Linked DNA regions of Xenopus tropicalis. The protein of the gene in region 3 purifies or fractionates together with the protein of the main gene of each other region. This does not show direct contact. Links are inferred from orthologs where the notes say so. Each region holds a gene or a part of one and is shown on either strand. Other genes may lie near its edges.

Region 1 (3,755 bases), on a different chromosome or scaffold from region 3:
TGGGGGGAGCTAGAGAATGCTGGGGGGAGCTAGAGAATGCTGGGGGGGAGCTGGAGCATGCTGGGGGGGAGCTGGAGCATGCTGGGGGGGAGCTGGAGGATGCTGGTGGGGGGAGCTGGAGGATGCTGGTGGGGGGAGCTGGAGGATGCTGGTGGGGGGAGCTGGAGGATGCTGGTGGGGGGAGCTGGAGGATGCTGGTGGGGGAGCTGGAGGATGCTGGTGGGGGGAGCTGGAGAATGCTGGTGGGGGGAGCTGGAGAATGCTGGTGGGGGGAGCTGGAGAATGCTGGGGGGGGAGCTGGAGAATGCTGGGGGGGGAGCTGGAGAATGCTGGGGTGGGCAGCTGCAGGATGCTGGGGAGTGTATGGGGATGCTGGGGAGTGTATTCCATACTTGATTATCAATAGGTATCAAAAGATATTTGTGCTGTTTCCATACAGGCAACGAGCAATCTTGTTGGTAAAAATTGTTGATAAAAAGAATATCCTAGAACTGCTCTCTGGTATTACATGTTCTGGCCTAAAGTCATTCTACTGAAATGGATTGTAAAAATGTTCAAACTTTTTAATGTTTAACCCTATATGGCATTTGTCACAGTAAAGAAGCCTTTGATTTATCTATTCTGCAGTGTATAACTATTGGGAACATACAGAGGGGCAACATCAAATATTTATGACATGCAAGGGGCTAAATTCAAAATGATAATGCAAGTAATATTAGGCAATAATAAAGTTAAAACGTTGTCACTACTGCCATTATTGTTTTTGTAGTTTTGGTGATTTACTTCTGTATTTCCTAGCTTGCAAAATGAACTGCCCCTCAGTATCTCAATCTAAACAAGGGGCCATATAGCCATAGTTTTAACATACATTATGTAAGACAAAAAGAAAACAAATATAAAAGAACTTACAGTTGCCAGCAGTCGGTTGATGCACATGGCCCTTTGTTTGGCTTCAATGTGAGGCATCTCATTTTGAATAACTTGGTCAGTGATACCATGAGGAAACTGCTGGCACAGCTCAATAACCCTAAATATATAGAAAAAAATACCATTAAAGAACTAGAAAAAGCTTAAGTGTAACTGTGTTAAGTGTTTATGAGACTGTTGACTTTCTCTAACATTTTATTTGTAATAATTTTGGCCCCTGATGTTAGTGGAAGGAATGCACAACACATGCAGAATATTTAGATCATGTCCAGTATGAAAGAACTGCTACCCCTTATGTGAGCCAACAACTGCAAGAAACAAACGGCTGGAACGGAGTATTATGTGACTAAAAATCACACTAACAACAAAGAGGATGTTTAAAGAACCGAAGCCATTGCTGCTTTTTTTTTTTTTGGACAGCTGTAATAACAGCCACCCTCCATTGGTAGACAGATGTTGGATGTTTTTTGGTACTACATGCTGTACTACATACACCAGAGGCAGTCTACAGGTCCGGACTAAGATTCAAAAGAGGAATTTCATGTACAAAGGCCCAAACAGCCCCCCACAGGTGCAATACATAGTGACGTTCTATGGCATCTTGCAGCAGCCACTCTGGCATTGGCCAGAATCCATAGACTGTCAGACCGGGCCTGGCATAAACACACTTGTTTTTTTTTTAATTCGGTGTAACTTTATCATAACCACATATTTTTATTGTCCCTTTTTACTATAAGACAGTCCTTAAAAGTTTCCTTTAAGGGGCAGTATATTTCTTTTTACCATGAGCTAAACAATAAATATAGTTTTTCCAAGTAATGTATGGCTTTTAGTTATTTCTTGCACTAAACAAAGACACTGACAGCTTAAATTTTCTAGTTTCCTGGTTCTGCCAAATCATCATTTGTGGTAAAACAAATCAACAGTATACAGATAAGCACTGGCTGCTCCTAATCACAAAGTCTAACAAAGGCTACATCTTAGGAGAGAGTGGATTTGCTTTATACACAGCTCATTATTCTCATTTAAACAATAGTGGGGAAAAACAAAACACTTTTATTTTAGTGCTTTATAACTACAAAACATTTGATAAATGTTAAAAATATGGATTTTTAAACTAAAATAAAAAAAGATTACATTCTCAACACAAGACTTATTTAGTATGCTGATGTTTAGCAAAAGTGTCTATAGGCATACACTGGCCTCTACAGTTTTAGGTTTCCTGCAGATAAAAACCCCACATCTTTTAGCAAATGTGTTCATGTCTCATCAGTCAGCCACAGTGTAGGTGTAGTCATGTCCTTTAGATAAGGTATAGCTGAGATTGCCATGAAGCTTTTCAAAATACTAGTAGGGTTCTAATGCCTGGTCTGGGACCACAGCTCTGAAGAAAGGCTGGATATAACCTGGGACAGACATTGAGCAAGTCAATGCGTGACAGCAAGTGACACAACTAATAAATAACTTTAGTTTTCTGCTATAACTGTAAGCATATGCTGCCAATATGATTATATTGATCAATGTGTCTTTCTAATGCAAGGGACTTTCATTTAAACCTTATGTAATTGAAAAAAGTAAACCAACATAGCCAAAACGCCAAAGACATACTCCGCTTTGCACCGCTTACCTGTTCTCTATCTCCGCTGCCTCCCCACCTTCTTGCTTCACCTTCGCTTCTGACATGTTTATTTGAGTCCCTATCCTTTGCCCACGTGTCCCCCTTAACGACTGTCGCCCCAACACCCCCAGTTCAGGTAGCACTAGCGCTGCAGCTCGATCAGCAGAAAGTATCGGCAGCCATTTTGCTTTCGGGCAAAAGGGAGCGTTTGGAACGGAACAACTTCCGAGCGGACAATATATTTTCAAATCAAAGGTACTACGTCTTTTAACTAAAGGACTTCGCGATTTACGTTGTCGCTAACCAAACATTTTCACGCTTTACAATTTCCAAATACAGCAAGTCGTCTGTGTAGCATTTGCTGCGGAAATACGTCATGCATAGGAGCATGCGCTTTGAGAGTGTGAAGAAATATGGGCGATGGTTTATTAGCGTCATCTTCGCATCTTTAGTTGCTAGGCAGCCAGACTTGACCAATGAAAAGGGCAGACACCGTCAGGAAGCAGGTTTTTACTACACCGCGTCTCTAGTAACGGGAGGTGGGACAAAGGCTGCGCCGGGGTCCACAGTGGGATATTTTATCAAGGTAAGTCAGGGTGCTATCAATTTAGACTAATGAAGAGTCTGTAGGTTACTGCTCGCCATAGATAGTGCTCTGCAGCTTGCGAACTTATGCTTTTCGAACTCAATGCTATGTGATTCGATGAAGCCCATTAACTTCTAGTTACATGTTTTTCAGTGGCTGAAATATTTTTATATTTTATACGTTTTTATAAAGCGGGACTGGTGTAGCATGTACAGTACATGTATGTAAGCTCATCTCATGCACCAGATTGTCTGGGAGAATTATAGCCTCAGAATCATTTTATGGCTGTTTGACTAATTAAAAGTTTTGCTAAGTACAAATGCTGACAGGACAAATACAATAAATCATTTAATCAATTTCTAATGTATTCATTTGAACTGCAGAAAGTTGGGTACAGTGGCCAACAAATGGTGACAATGTCCCTTAGTGCAATGTTTTTGGTCAAGAGACAGTAGCGTACCTTGAGTGGTCTGGCCCCACCCCCACAAAAAAAATATCTTCGGAGGGGCCCGGCATGCACGCTTAAGCTCAAATGAGAGCCAGCAAAGTGGACATTTAGAAGTGACTATGGATGGCAAACTACACACAGTGGACCTCATGGCCCAGCTTCCGCCCCCCATGGTC
Region 2 (3,755 bases), on a different chromosome or scaffold from region 3:
GTTCATATCACTCCAACTTGCAGCTCAGCAGTAAAGTGTGAGTTCAGAGCACAGGTCACATGACTGTGGCACCCTGGGAAATGAAGAATATGGCTAGCCCAACGTGAAATTTCAAAATTAAATATAAAAAAAATCAGTTTGTGTTTTTGAAAAATGGATTTCAATGCAGGATTCTGCTGGAGACGCTCTATTAACAGATATGTTTTTAAAAAATACGTTTTTCCCGTGACAGTATTAATTTAACGTATTGTATCCTTACCTTGTATTTACTATCATACTTTGTATTTATTTTATTGTAATAGTCCCGTTTATTCTATTCATTTATTGTCCTACTGTACAGCGCTGGGTACATAAGTAGTGCTATATAAATAAAAATATATATACATACATAAAGATAATATTATATATCAAAATGGGGCTTGGGGCAAAAATAAAAAAAAATCTTAATAAAACACTGCTCGCCTTAAAACAGTTTAACAAGTATTTCTAAAGAATATTTAGTTTACGTAATTCTTGTAGTTAGCCTATCATTGGCACATTACCACACCCTCTTTTGCCAATAACTAATCCCTATACCTTTAGAGGGTTAACTCTTAAACTTAGCCACTTATAATATTAATGCAGAGCGCCATGTAACTATGTGACGCAATATAAATACACGAAGACGATGAATATAGGAACGGTAGTAATACCCACCAACAAAATGGTGATCTTTACAAGAACATGTACGCCGGCTTCTTGCCTACCACAAACATGGCCGAGCCCTTCAACTGCGACGATGCAATTTCTTTGGTCTTCCTTAGCGTGATACCGAAACTTGAACAAATTCTACAACCCGAATAGCCACCTTCAGCAAAAAAGGGAAACGATATTATGCGCAACTTTATTCCTTTTCCACAGTGCAGTTTTAAGCTAATAACACGTCCTCAGAGATACCCCACAGCAGTATTCGCTTGTAGCCATCAGGCAGAGTGAGGGCAGCCCATGTAGGGTCCTCCTGCAGCCCAGGGAGCCGAGCTCCGGAAATCGCGCTCTTCTTCCTGTTTGGTCTCGTGGAGACAACATGGACGATGAGGAGGAAACTTACCGGTTGTGGAAGATCCGCAAAACTATTATGCAGGTGAGAAAATTGAGTTTTAAATCTTTTTGTGTTATAATCTTCGCCTTTTTCAGTAATTCGAACTCAGCTACGTTGTGTTGGGTACCATTCATTTCTGCTTCCAGCATATACTTCTACTGTACTCTTCGTCCCTGTCACTTTTACTTTTGTGCTTTACCTCATCTGTCTCCATATTACCTGTTTCACTCGCATCCTTCTTTCCTTCGCCAGCTGTGCCATGACCGTGGTTACTTAGTAACGCAGGATGAATTGGATCAGACACTGGATGAGTTTAAAGCCCAGTTTGGGGACAAACCTAGCGAAGGGCGCCCTCGCCGAACTGACCTGACTGTATTAGTAGCTCATAATGATGATCCCACAGACCAAATGTTTGTTTTCTTCCCAGGTGAGTAGGTGCAAAAAAAAAAAAAAAAACAGTGACTGGCTGAAGGGTCTATACATGCAGACAAAGGATTATTACATGTTTGCCTGTCTTATTTGTAGAGGAACCCAAAGTTGGCATTAAGACAATTAAGATGTATTGCCAGAGAATGCAGGAGGAGAACATTACGAGGGCTTTAATCGTGGTGCAGCAGGGAATGACCCCATCTGCCAAACAGGTAATTCTGCCAGCTAACGTGCACCTTACCTAAGCATACTTACTGGGTGAACTGCAGTTCTGATCCAAAGCTTTTATAAATGAAAATGTACAGATAAAATATATACTACTCCGATGAATTAATTTTCTATGTGATTTGTATGTTTTGCTGGCAAAAGACACCTAAGCTTTATTTTTTATCTTAAAAATGGGATAAGTTTGAAAGACCCTTCTTTAAAAAGGAATACACCTATTATTAAAACTATAGATCTCATCTGCTAAATGCAAAAAAGTGCAATTTGCCATATTACCCCTCAGTGCAGCATCCTTCCTGCAGCATAGGCATACACTTACATGGTTGTCAGTCATGTGCAGTTCAGCTTCCACAACCTTGATTGGCTATGAGTGCATAAGGAGGCCCAGTGCTTAAAGGAACAGTAACACCAAAAAATGAAAGTGTATAAAAATAATTAATATATTATATACTATTGTTTTGCACTGGTAAAAGTTGTGTGTTTTCTTCATAAACACTACTGCAGTTTATATAAATACCCTACTGTGTAGCCACGGGGGCAGCCATTTAAATTGAAAAAAAGAGAAAAGGCACAGGTTGCTAAGCAGATAACAATTAAGTAGCAGATTCCCATTGTATTCTACACAGTTTATCTGGTATCTTCTTATGTAACCTGTGCCTTTTCTCCTTTTTTCAATTTAAATGGCTGCCCCCATGGCTACACAGCAGCTATTTCTATTAACTATAGTAGTCTTTCTGAAGCAAACACGCAACTTTTACTAGTGCAGGGCAACAGTAAATTATATTTTAATTATTTTAAAACATTTTTATTTTTTAGTGTTACTGTTCCTTTAACACCAGGCCCAGACTGCCAGTCTGTGGATTCTGGCAAATGCCAGAGGAACTGCTGTAAGATCCCACAGACAGTTGCTGTTTGGGCCTTTGTGTATTTGAAATATTAGGGCCTATTTTGAATCTCAGCCTGGGTCTGCATAACACCAGGTCAAACCAGATGTTAAGCACAGGGCTTGGGTGCAAGTAGGTGCAGGTCATATGCGTATGCTGTTTAAAATTTGCAATTCTGGCTGATGAACTAACATAGTCATATTATCCAAGTATAAGCAGGTTACCGTTTTATGTTCTCTGGCAAGTAAGATAAAGGCAGACGTTTACTAGTTAATTAGTTACTAGTTAATATTGTATGATTATTACTTAATACTACTACCACGTTTTCTAAAAACAGGATCGAATCACTTTATTTGCCTGATGGAAAGGTAAAGGACAACTATAAACCTTCTCTCCTATGATATAGGAAAGAGGATGGACCGGTCATTGCATATAAATATGAATGTAACCTTTTCATGCTAAATCATAATAAAGACGTTAAAAAAAAAAATTGGCAATTCTGCACCTACTTCTTGTAAGTGAGCCCTTTTGACTTCAATCCAGTTGAAACCTTGTTTCCTATGCATAGGATAAATACTGCCAAAATCTGAAAAAATATTTTAATTATTAAATTATCAGTTAATGTAGTAAAATGTTTACATGGTGTTAGTCCATAATAAATACTATCCAAAGCTTCTGCCAGCTTTCCTATCTTTATAGCAATCTCTTTATTTTGCAGTCCCTGGTGGATATGGCACCCAAATACATTCTGGAGCAGTTTCTACAACAGGAGCTTCTGATTAATATCACAGAGCATGAGGTGAGTTTTAATACAGAAGGGGAAGAAACACTTTCACTCATACTGAAACGTTTCTGTTATCCATACACACTGACATGTAATAGGTGGGTGCACATGGGAACGTTAGGTGCCTTCTTGATGAGTAGCAGCAGAGTATTGTAATGTGTTAGCCATAGTTTCAGAAAAAAGATTTTAGGTGGTAACATGATACCGTTTAAAATTAATTAACCAATAAACAGTATCACCTTCCCACAAAAATCTTTTTTTTTTTTTTTTTGTGAGTCCATATAGTTTAGAAGTTCATCTTTATTAAGTTCTGTACTGTTTATTTCTGATAGCTCAGGGATTTTACATTTGACCA
Region 3 (3,755 bases):
CACCGACACCTGGGCCCACCGGGAGTTTTCCTGGTATCCTGGGGGGCCAGTCCGACTGCCTGGGCTGCTGCACTTTTTGAAAAAGAGAAACACCATTCCTGTGTAGCAAGTAAGGGACTAGCACAGTGATCCCATTTAATGTTACTCCCTGAGGCCTTAATGCAGGCACTTATTTTTGAATTCCTGGCTTGGAGGCAAAAAATGAAAGTGTATAAAAATAATTACAATATAATGAACTGTTGCCCTGCACTGGTACAGCTGGTGTGTTTGCCTCAGAAAGTCTATAGTTTATATAAACAAAGGTGCTGTGTAGCCATGGGGGCAGCCATTCAAAGGAGAAAAGGCACAGGCACATAGCAGATAACAGATAAAACCCCATTATATTCTACAGAGCTTATCTGTTATCTGCTATGTAACCTGTGCCTTTTCTCCTTTTTCAAGGTTGAATGGCTGCCCCCATGGCTACACAGCAGCTTATTATATATAAATTATAGTAGAGTTACTGTAGCAAACACACAACTTTACCTGTGCAGGGCAACAGTACATTATATTTTAAATACTTTAATACACTTTCATTTTTGGCGTTACTGTTCCTTTAACCGCGCTGCCAACCTACAGGCATTAGTGACAGGGAGGAATGCAGAGTGGAAATTGTTTTCTCAATACGCCAGTATTTGGCACAATCTCTGAGGTTTTTCAAGTTTGTTTTGTTCCCCAACTCATTTTAAAGTTACTAACAGGTAAAAAAGTTAGGGTATCCCTACACTAGAACCACTTTGCTGTGTTCTCCAACTTGCCCCCCCCAAAACCCCCTATGGTTTTGCGCCAGAGTTTGGGTAAACTTAGCACAATCATTCCACAACTTTTTTTAACCATTGATGACAGTCGTCGTAGTGTTAATCAATATTTTACTATCCATGTGATCTCACAGCGCTGCCCAAAACTATATATATATATATTCCCTTCAGCACTAGGGAGGCACTCCGCAGCTCAGTGACGCCTCTGGCCCCGCCCATTCCGGAAGTCGCTGCGCTGCTTGGCGTTGTTGCCATCTCGCCAGTGTATTTCCGGGTTCCTTTGCTGCAGAGCAGAAATGCAGGAAGACGAATTGGAACGGTACGAAGTATATGCGAAATAGAAATAAAATTGCATGCTGCTGCTTGTGAGCTGTCTATGTTTTACCCCAGTGAACGCTTTATAGTGCAGAGACTGCTTGGGTAGTGGGTGAAGGATAAATAATAATATATACATGAATTGTTATGGGACAGCTGTTGCTGGGGAAGTGGGGACTGATTGGGTGCAGTTACTTTTGGGTCCTTGTTAGGAATACATAGGGGGAGATTTACTAATCCACGAATCCGAAACCGGAATGGCAAAAATTCAGATTGGAAAGAAAATTTTGCCGTCTTTTCGTCGCCGCCGCAACTTTTTCGTATTTGTCGCGACTTTTTCGTCGCCGACACGACATTATCGTATTTTGCGCAACTATTTCGTCGCCGTTGCAATTTTTTCGTATTGAGCGATTGTAAACGGCGGAAAAACCAATCCGATTTTTTCGCGACGGCGACGAAAAAGTTGCAGAAAATATACGAAAAAGTCGCAAAAATACCGATCATTGCGAAAAAAACGCATGCGGATGCCTTCGGACCGTTCGTGGATTAGTAAATCTGCCCCATAGTGTTGATCCGTAGGCTATAGAGAGCTCTTACTGGTACTGAAAGCCAGCTGGCCAGACTGTGGTTCATGTATATCACTGAAAGGCAACCAATAGCCCTTTTTGTATTGTGGAATTACAGCTTCCAGGGTTGGTTGTTGCAGTGGGAGTTAAAGTTAAACTACATCAATAAAGCAGCAATTAGAGATGTGATTTTGGTTTTCACTTTTTTGTAAAAAAAAAAAAAAATACTGGCCTTTCTATGTAATTATCTTTCTTCCCTATTAATAACATTGACATCAAGCATTATTTTGACCGGCTGGGTTGGTATAATACCAAGCAGCCATAGATGGAATTAGGATTGTGCACATTTACATGTCTCTGGGAAGCACTGTGCATGGTTCAGGATTTGTAGGTCCCATAGATTTTGCTTAGAACACTCTCAGCCCACTTATAATAAAATAGTAAACCAATAAAAGCAGTTTGGTCATGCAGTTTTTGGTGCCGTTGCCATATTAATACATATTCAGTGTACTTGCCTGGAGACCAAAAGAAGAGACTGCTAGTTGGAGGCAGATTTGTTGAAATAATGGAATTTTTAAAAAAAAAACGTAAAGTATACTAATGTTTAATAATGTTAATAGGCCTTATTTCATGCGTTTGATACATTTTTTGTCCTCTTTAAATTGGTGTAAAAGAACTTTCCCCCCAAAACATGTGTGTAGATTTTTATTTATGTAGCAATACTTATATATGTTGGGCTGTACAGCCGATATTGTTAATGCTAATTTCTTGCTCTTTTATGCCGATGCAGGAAAGCTGTAGAAGAGCTTCTCAAAGAAGCAAAACGTGGCAAGATCCGAGCTGAAACTATGGGACCAATGGGCTGGTAAGTGGTTTCTTTATACAATTTTTAATGATATATGTGCGTGTAACACTATTGTATGGTTAGTAACTGTGTTCATATTAAAAATACTGGTGTGTTTATAAAACTTGAAAAAACTGTTCTCTTCCTTTAAAAAAGGAAATGGGTAGTCAATGGAGGGAGGTGCAAACCCCTCATACAGTTATTATAATCATCATTATTATTTTCACTTAAAATACACTGGCCCTGTGTACTATTCTTGTGAGGCCTGTCCTGTGCCTATGTGCAGCATAGTAAAATGTGTAATTCAATGTGAAATGACAGGTAGGCTTCTCTTGCACTTAAACACAGAGTAGGGCCACTGCAAAGATTCAGAGAACAGCAATAAGATGACTGCATGGCGCTAATAAGGATAATACCCCAAGCCAGTCATAGGTAAGTGATTATAATCTAGGAATCCCAAACCCGAAATATGCTAATTAGGAAGAGAAAGGGGGAAAAATTGCAGCGTGCGCAGCAAAAAATTTTTCCCCCTACCATATAATCCTTACAAACATGGGCGTCCGCAGAAAATTTTCCAAGGGGGGGCAAGTAAGCTAGCATCATCCTGCAACAGACAAATATATATATATATATATATTTAAAAATATATATTTTTTTTTTGCAGGATGATACTAGGGGAGGCTAAAGATGGCCCATACACAGTCCGACCTACAGCTAATGTGACACTTAGTGGATTCGCTGCTGGCGTAAAAAGTTAACCTCCCAACTACCTCTTGCCGTTCCCACTGACTACCAGGGATACTGTACAAAAGTGCGGGTGGGGGTGCTTTTTTTTTTTTACCCTAAAATGTTTAGGATGTAAAAGTATTCATACGCGCACGCGGGATCTGCAAACATTTGTGTTTGTGATCAGTTAGCTTAAAGGGGTAGTTCGCATTCAATTCACTTTTATTTTTAATGGTTTTTCAGTTATTTAGCTTTTTGTTCAGCAGCTCTCCATTTGGTATTTCAGCAGCTATCTGGTTGCTAGGGTCTTATTTACCCTAGCAACCAGGTAGTGGTTTAAACAAGAGATGGGAATATGAATAGTTAAGGGGCCTACTTAGAAAAATAAGTAATACAAAATTATAATAATAATAAAATTGTAGCCTCACAGAGCAATATTTTTTGGCCCCCATTTGAAATCTGTATAGAGGCAGAAGAGAAAGGCAAATTATTCAAAAAAATTAATTA

Evidence for each region. The genes of interacting proteins can lie anywhere in the genome.
Region 1: the proteins of uncharacterized protein LOC496835 (region 3) and polr3f purify together in Homo sapiens (affinity purification with mass spectrometry; 3 studies listed by BioGRID and IntAct, with this or other methods). This does not show direct contact. The link is inferred for Xenopus tropicalis from reciprocal best matches to the Homo sapiens genes POLR1D and POLR3F.
Region 2: the proteins of uncharacterized protein LOC496835 (region 3) and polr2e purify together in Homo sapiens (affinity purification with mass spectrometry; 4 studies listed by BioGRID and IntAct, with this or other methods). This does not show direct contact. The link is inferred for Xenopus tropicalis from reciprocal best matches to the Homo sapiens genes POLR1D and POLR2E.

The regions. Positions count from the first base shown.
Region 1 is NC_030681.2:38,388,034-38,391,788, reverse strand, and holds the start of polr3f (DNA-directed RNA polymerase III subunit RPC6), read right to left. Parts: upstream 2,773-3,755; 5' UTR 2,611-2,772; coding exon 2,555-2,610; intron 1,028-2,554; coding exon 910-1,027; intron 1-909. UniProt on the Homo sapiens protein: DNA-dependent RNA polymerase catalyzes the transcription of DNA into RNA using the four ribonucleoside triphosphates as substrates.
Region 2 is NC_030677.2:100,196,830-100,200,584, reverse strand, and holds the start of polr2e (DNA-directed RNA polymerases I, II, and III subunit RPABC1), read left to right. Parts: upstream 1-1,053; 5' UTR 1,054-1,063; coding exon 1,064-1,120; intron 1,121-1,330; coding exon 1,331-1,505; intron 1,506-1,603; coding exon 1,604-1,719; intron 1,720-3,334; coding exon 3,335-3,415; intron 3,416-3,755. UniProt on the Homo sapiens protein: DNA-dependent RNA polymerase catalyzes the transcription of DNA into RNA using the four ribonucleoside triphosphates as substrates.
Region 3 is NC_030678.2:155,277,837-155,281,591, reverse strand, and holds the start of uncharacterized protein LOC496835, read left to right. Parts: upstream 1-1,087; 5' UTR 1,088-1,093; coding exon 1,094-1,116; intron 1,117-2,468; coding exon 2,469-2,543; intron 2,544-3,755.